Oryctolagus cuniculus: one gene and its partner. The protein of the gene in region 2 interacts with the protein of the main gene of each other region in a biochemical or structural test. Links are inferred from orthologs where the notes say so. Each region holds a gene or a part of one and is shown on either strand. Other genes may lie near its edges. The genes, in order: SOX10 and PAX3.

The links.
Region 1: the proteins of PAX3 (region 2) and SOX10 form a complex in vitro, tested with the Homo sapiens proteins (2 studies listed by BioGRID and IntAct). The link is inferred for Oryctolagus cuniculus from reciprocal best matches to the Homo sapiens genes PAX3 and SOX10.

The regions. Positions count from the first base shown.
Region 1 is NC_091442.1:114,780,674-114,784,963, forward strand, and holds the start of SOX10 (transcription factor SOX-10), read right to left. Parts: upstream 2,958-4,290; 5' UTR 2,735-2,957; intron 2,294-2,734; 5' UTR 2,216-2,293; coding exon 1,788-2,215; intron 1-1,787. UniProt on the Homo sapiens protein: Transcription factor that plays a central role in developing and mature glia.
Region 2 is NC_091434.1:17,159,921-17,163,289, reverse strand, and holds the end of PAX3 (paired box protein Pax-3), read right to left. Parts: intron 1,613-3,369; coding exon 1,366-1,612; intron 873-1,365; coding exon 842-872; coding exon of another isoform or gene 838-841; exon of another isoform or gene 687-837; coding exon 620-686; 3' UTR 600-619; downstream 1-599. UniProt on the Homo sapiens protein: Transcription factor that may regulate cell proliferation, migration and apoptosis. Involved in neural development and myogenesis. Transcriptional activator of MITF, acting synergistically with SOX10.

The DNA of each region.
Region 1 (4,290 bases), on a different chromosome or scaffold from region 2:
ATTGTCCCACTGCCCTCCTGTCACTGGGGTTGGGTCCTGCTCTCCTGCCAGCCCTGCCCAGGTAGGCCCCTGTGCTCACAGCTCAAGAGCTGGCCAGGAGCAAGTCCCTCTGAAGGGACCTCCAGCCCAGCCAGGGGCAATGGAGGGGCAACCTGAGACCCTGGCCATGGGAGGTGGTGGGAGAGCCGGGCTCACGCGTGGGTCTGCCCAAGGTCCCCGGCGCTGTTCCGTCTGCCTCCCTTTGGCTGTGTCTCTCACTGCCTCTTTGTTCCACAGCGGCCAAGGCGCCGCGCACCCAGCCTGGGCCAAGCCCCACCCAGGTCTGGAGGGGCCTTGGACAGAGGGGAGCTAGCAGCGACCTCTGCTCCTGGCAGAGCTGGACACACAGCAGCTGGTCACCAAGCCCGGGTCTGCCCAGGATGAGCAGGGGCTGGTGGGGGAGGGGAAGGGGCACCAGGCGAGCACATGGCAAGGACGGGCCAGGGGACTGGGCGCAGGGACCCTCTTGCTCCTCCCAGCATCCAAGCCTCGGGCCCTCTAGCCCTCACCTCCACCCTGCTGGCTTAGTGGAGAGGGACAGGCAGCAGGCTCCGCTGACAGAGCCCAGTCTCTGAAACCCCCCATCCCGCTCCTTGTGACCACCATGCCGGGCACAATGTGGGGGAAGACCTCTGGCCCGGCTGTGCCACCAGCTGGTGTGTGACCTTTGCAGTGGCCCTGCCTCTCTGGGCCTGTGTCCTGGGCAGTGTGATGGAGATCAGGTGGCCACCACAGGCCGGCATCTCCTGAGCCTCTGTTCCCTCTTGGAGCTGGATGAGGGCTCTCAGGGTGGGGCTGAGGGGTCCCCTGCTTCACACGTCCCTAAGGGGCCAGGCTTTCCCCCTACGCGGTTTTCCCCAGAGGTGTGGGCTTGTCCCTGGGGCTCTGAGGGACCCTGGGCAGAACGGAGACCAGGGTGTCCTCCTGGCCAGAGTGCTCGGCTCCAACTCTGGGGCTGTGGGGAAGAGGTTGCTCAACTCTGGGTGGGGCCCTGGGAGGAAAGATGGCGCCCAACCAGGAGAGCAAGGAAGGGAGAGAGGCCAGCTTGGTGGCTCTGGAACAGGGTGGGAGAGAGCAAGGTGTCCTGGGTGCCCCTCCTCCCAGAGAAGCAGCCCCCCCCCCCGCCCAAGGGAGGGCGGGGCCAGGACCCAGTGGAGACAGGTGGGCCAGGGTGAGAACCCCCTGGCAGCTCTCCACCCCTACCCCCACTCCCTGCCCCTCATCCGAACGCCGTGGTCTCAGACCTCCCCTGACTTCTCAGCTGGCTGCCTCAGTTTCCCCGAATCTGCAGCTACGCCCCCGGTGCTTGCCCAAGCCTTTCCCCTCACATCCTCCCGAGCGATGAGATGGTGGCAGTTTGGCCCCCTTGGGTGTGCACCTACATGGGAAGGGAGTTAGTGAGGGGCTGTGGTGGGCTCCCGGAGGAGCAGCCCCGGAGGCCCTAGGTGCCACCGAAAGAATTCCAACCGCGAGGGGGCGCTTTCCTGGCCGCCACCCGGGGTGGGAAGAGACCCGGCCTAGGCGGCTGCAGTTCAGAGTTCGAGTCGCTAGCGGGCAGAACCCAAAGGCGCGCCTGTGGAGGCCAGGCAGGCACGGTCCCTGCACCTGGTCCTCCAGGCGCATCCCAGGAGGGGGCTGCCCCTGGGGAAAGGGCCCCCGGCAGACCCCGCCCCGGGGGGCAGGAGACGGGGCGCTCCCGCCTGGCGCGAACGCGTCGCAGCTGGCTGGTCGGGCCGGGGAGCGCTCACCTCCAAAGCTTGCCCAGCGTCTTGCTGAGCTCGGCATTGTGCAGGTGCGGGTACTGGTCGGCCAGCTTCCGGCGCGCCGCCTGCGCCCACACCATGAAGGCGTTCATGGGCCGCTTGACGTGTGGCTTGCTCTTGCTGGCGCCGTTGACGCGCACCGGCATGGGCACCAGTGTCCAGTCGTAGCCGCTGAGCACCTGGCTGACGGCCTCGCGGATGCACACGGGGAACTTGTCGTCGTCCGCCTCGCCGGCCTGCTGCTCCTTCTTCACCTTGCCCAGCTCGCCGGGCCCGGGGCTGGCTCGCAGGCTGGAGCCGCCGCCGCCGCCGTCGGGCCCCAGCGAAGGCGCGCTTCCTGGGGACAGGCAGCGGGGCTCTTCGGAGCCCACCGGGCTCAGCTCCACCTCCGACAGGTCCTGCTCCTCCGCCATGTCGCCCCCGGCCGCCGCCGCCTCGGCCGCCTCCCCCGGGCCCGCCGCGGGGGTCCTCGCAAAGAGCCCAACGCCCACCTGGTCGGAAAGGAGGGCGCAATGGAGCGGCGGCGCGCGCAGCCCCGAGGGCGGCCGGGCCGGGACGCGGGCGCAGCCCCGAGGTGTCGGGCCTCCCTGCGTGCGCTAAGCCCGCGCCGGCCGCTGGGGCCCCTCGCACATGCCAGACCCCAGGTGGGCGCGTCCCGCCTCCGCGCCTTCCCACCACCTGGCCCCAACCGTCTGTTGGTGTGGGTGGGTTTTTCTTTTGAAACCTCCTTTTGGGTGGAGGTTTGTTGATGGAAAGGAAGAAAAACGGACCCTTTATTCGGCTCTAATCCCGGCCCCTGGAATTTCCCACTTTTCTCTCACCTTGCCTTCTACCAGACCCGGATCCAGAGGGGCAGGTGTGGGGCGCGCGGGGCGTCCGCCTCTCCCTTCCGCCCGGCAGGGGCCCAGGCCTGGCCGGCCAGGCGCACTCACCTCCTCGGACCTCTCCTCCAGCCTGGGGCTCGTCCTCAGGAAGTGGAAAACCGAGTCCCAAGGTGTGCGGTCCAGCTCGGGGCTGGGGGGGGTGGCGCTGGTGGACCGGGAGGGAGGGGCTGAGGGGCCCCGAGCCTCAGGCCACGGCCTCTTAGGACGGAGCCTGAATCCACAGCACCAGCCACCCTGGCCGGACAGCCTGAGACTGACTGAGCGACTGAGCCGCGGGCTGCAGAGGCTGGGGAAGGAAGGGGGGGAGTGGGGGAGGGGGAGGGGAGGGAGGGAAGGGCAGAAGGTGGAGCCTCCAGCGCTTTCCTTCGTCCCCAACACTCAGGGGCCCCCCCACCCTGCCCGGGCACTGCTGCCCAGACCCAGCTCGCCTAGGCTTAGCTCGGACTTAGTCTGGGAAGCTCAGGGGCAGGGAGCGGGGGTGCAGACTGGCAGGGCGGGAACCTGTTGCTGGGTGGGGGGGTGGGGTTGGGCCCAGCTGGTGCCCTCACCCTCTGCCTCAGGTGGCAAGATCACAGTTGGCAAAGGACGGATGGGAGACATAGGGAGGCAGGTGGGGGGGGGGGGGTCCTGTCCGGCCGCCTGCGTAACAGGCCTTGCGGCCCAGCCCGTGTCACTGGGCCTCCCACTCCCCCAGTTCGCTCTCTCTGCCCCAAACTGCGGTAATGGGACAGAGATGCCAGGTCCCTACCAGGCGAGTGGGGGCAGCTGGACGCTCCCTGCCCAGTGCCGGCGCCCCAACTCCACCCAGGCACAGGAGGGGCCCCTGGCATGGGGTCGTCATCGAGCCCCACTTCCTGGGAGCAGTTCCTTCCCCTTGGGAGGGGGAGTCACCACGTGCTCCTGTGCCCCCCTGTGGTCCTTCCTGTGGGACCGTCACCCACGGCTCCTCTCCCCTCCCCTCTCAGGTAGGCAGGCAGGGGCAGGCGGAGCCTGGGTCCCACTGACCACCCCAAAGAGCTCCTGGCTGCAGCCGGGCTGGGAAGGGGGTCTGGGGCAGCCAAGGGGGTGGGGGGCGGAGTGGGACACAATGAGGTAGTCACACGAGGCAGAGGCATGTTGGGGGTGGGGGCGGCGGACACTGGAACACACACACACACATGCTTGCGCACACACAACCCGACAGACAATCGGGCCAGTGTGTCCGGGGCCTCGGAGCCCAGTGAATTAGGAGTTTGATAAGGGTTTTCTCTTTCTCTCGCTCGCTGGCCTTGGACAATCTCCCCCCAGTTTTCCTCGACGCCACCCCCGGTGCTGCCAACCCTCCTCCCCCCGCCTCCCTCTCTTCCCTGTGCCCAGACTCTTGTTCGGGCCTTGAAACAGTGAGCCGTCTTTGTTCGAAGCACAGGTGAACGGCAACGGCAATCATGTGATGGACACACACACACATAAAAAGCTTTTTAACAGCGCCCGCCCGGCCTCAGAAGCGCCCGGAGAGGAGCCGCCCTGGATGGACAGAGGGACGGAGGGACGAGCATCCGGCCGGCCGGGCCGCTGTCCCGGCTGCCCGCAGCAGTCTCCGACTCCGCTGCTGCCCGCCCGTTGTC
Region 2 (3,369 bases):
AGTTTATATCACCTTGGCCATGCCAAAGCATCTGTGAGGTACACAGTATTGCACACTGATAAGCAGATATGTGAATTCATGTCACTTCTTCTCCACCAGGCCCTCACTGCCACCCAGATTGGCTTCCAAGTGAATGTGGTTGGGGAAAATGCCACACACCTCTCCCAACAATGGAAAAGAAGACAAACTTTCCTTCCTGGGATCCCATATCTTCTCTGGGACGTTTATTGACAACTAGATTACAAATGAGCATATAATAACAAATAATTTATTTAGGAGGTCCTTTATATCTAATCTAGCTTCCTAAAAATGGTGCCATTTATTTTTATATCAATTTCCAGTGTGTACAAGTTAAGGAGTCCTCCATTCTTGCTTCATTAGGGAGCAGTTTTGAAGTTGTAGAAGCATCAGGCTTGGACATCAAACATGTGAGAGGGTGTTGTCCTTCTACAGTTTAAAAGTCAAGGTAAATCTCAGACACACACACACACACACACGCACGCACGCACATACATGTGTGGGTGCATGCAAATGGAATGTTTAGCTCCTTGATCATCAGCACTAAAGAGTTGGGATATTTTGACACATAGCCATTGCAATAAAATGTTGCATTTGTCTTTTATTGCTCCACCTCTTCCTCTTCTCCATTGCTTTTGTCCAACACGTTTGAGAGAACTCGAAACCAACTACTGGAGAAAGAAAATCGGTCACTCTTCTTTGTCTCCTGTTGGGACTGCCCTCTCCCCAAAGGGTTGATTTTTTTTTTCTGAGATTCTTCATGTCTAAGCTGTGGAGACCAGAAACAGGGCCAGTTTTCGCTCCAAGTGGACAGTTCACTTATGCAATATCTGGCTTGAGATAATGAAAGGCACCTGTAAGGAAACACATGCAGCTTTTTAGGTCAAGCTGGGACAATTCACAGTAAGGGGCAATATCAGCTACAGGCTGACAATGTCATATTTAATACCATAGTATCAAAGGATTGAGACTAATATTTTTATTCCCGAGACAAGTTTGACACAAGTCTGTGTCCCTGGGATTACACTCCATATGATCCTTGAGCTGACCTCATTAAGAACATGTGTTTCCAATGCCAGGGGTTATTGCATTTTGGCCAGCCCCTGTGTTTTACCTCGTGGCAATCAGGTTTCACGTCTCAGCAATTAATAACCGCAAGATGTTGTTGACATCAGCTAAGAAAATAATTATACAAGGGAGGCCTTGCTGGAACAGTCGGCTGGCTTTGCCACAGGAACGATCTTGGGAGGTAAGGCTTAATCATGCCTACAGTTCCCCTTGCTGAAGCATGAGTTGAATTTATTTTCCCTCCAGGAGAAGTCACCCCCTAGAAAGTGCAAGGCTTACTTTGTCCATACTGCCCGTATTGGTAGCCTGTGACGGGGTCCATACTGTAGCCCGTGGTGCTATAGGTGGGTGGACAATAAGACTGAGATGTTGGCAGACTGTCCAAGCTCTTCATGTGGTCTAGTCTCTGACTGCAGCTGGCTGACACCGTGGTGGTAGGTTCCAGGCCCCCAGTGAGAGGGGAGAGGGCGTAATCCGTCTGAGGTTGATGAGGTACCCCACCGTGGTTGGTCAGAAGTCCCATTACCTAAAACAAACAGGCCAATGAGGAAGAAGTTAAAATTCAGGGAGGAACACAGAGTAGCCCGTAGTTGAATGAATAACTGCACAGTCCATTTACTGTTTCTCTGGAAATCCGTTAAGAGTTTTCGGAAAGACTGTGACCTCGATGCAAAGCGGCAGAGCTATTACATCATGCCCAGAGATAACATCTGACTGCAGTTTCAGAGAAAGGAAAAGGGGAGGGAGAAGCGAGGGAAAGGAGAGGAAGGAAGGAGAGGGGAAGAGAGAGAGAGAGATTACACCATGTCTCCAGTGATAAAATCAGACTGGAATTTCAAAGAAGCAGAAAGAAGGGATGGAGAGGGAGAGAAATTTTATCTCCACATATAGAAAAAAAAATGTTTAATCGTGTCTTCCATCTGGGAGTTTTGCATGTGATTTTAAACAGGCATTTGCTTACATATTTAAAAAGTTAAATAGATACAAAAGCAAGCTCTTTTTCCGTGGATCCTGAGACCCCTGTGTCTTTTTTCATGGTGTCCTGTCTCCTTATCTTGACCATCCTTCAGTAATTAGAAAGAGTTAGTCCCACGCGCTTTTCTCGCCCTTCTCACTGTGGAATCGTTATTTCTGTCTCCTCTTTTGACTTGCGTGAACTTGGAGAGGAGTAACTTCGTATCCCAGTACCTAACACAGTAGTTGGCACAGATTTCATGCCAAATGAATGAAAGCTAAACAATCTCCAAGTGACTGCCATTATTATTTATTCTTTCTTTTCTTCTCTAAAACAACAGTTTGTATAGAGAAGTGTTAAACAGAAAGACAAGCCTGAAATGCAAACATGTTCTCAAAAGTTCAGTTTCATAAATAACTCTGGAGAGTAAAACAACTTAAAAAAAAAAAAAAAAAAGAGTGTTAACAGAACAACTTTCCGATCAGCGTGGTGAATGTTTTGCAAACTCAAGCTCACTGACCCGTCCAACACCCAGTGATGGAAGTAAGTGGGTGATTGATGTAGCAGCTGGAAAACTGCCACATAAGAGAGAAAGTGATTTTTCTCTACTTTGTACATGTCCATGGCAGGGCTCAAAAACCTTTGCGGGAAAAACTCACTGCTGGGTGAAGTCTCCACAAAGCACTCCTACTTACAAAGTATTTAAATTCTCTGTTTAAATATTTAAATATTTACTCAGTAAGTATCCTACTTTAGAAGTATTTAAATGCACAATGTTTCCAGAACAGTCCTGATTTATTTGAGGAAGTTTAAAGCCAATGGAGCAAGAAGAGAGGGCAGAAGTAAAAATCAAGCCCTGACTATGGGCCTTGGTGCTAATGGCAAAGCAGGTCTCACTCAAGGGTAATCTCAGACCAGAGAATCCTGGATGTAAGGATTCCAGCAAGGTGGGAGCATTGTGGGTGGGCACAAGGAACTGGCCTGTATCCTCATATTCCAAAACCAAGGAATCTTGAACTAACGCTTTCAACTGATGCATCATCAGTTAGCTGAGAGACAGAGGGCAAGACAGTTCATCATTTTTTCCTCAGTATTCCTCTCATTATCTCCCTTTACTTGGAGCAGCTGTGTGTGTGTGTGTTTGTGTGTGCGTGCAAAGTCGGGCCAGTGTAGGTGAAGCAACACTGTAATGCCCAACTTCCCTATCAAGTTTACCAATTTGAAAGGCAGAGTCACAGAGAGAGGGAGAGACAGAGAGGTCTTCCATCTACTGGTTCACTCCCCAGATGGCCACAATGGCCAGGACTGAGCCAGGAGCCAGGCAAGAG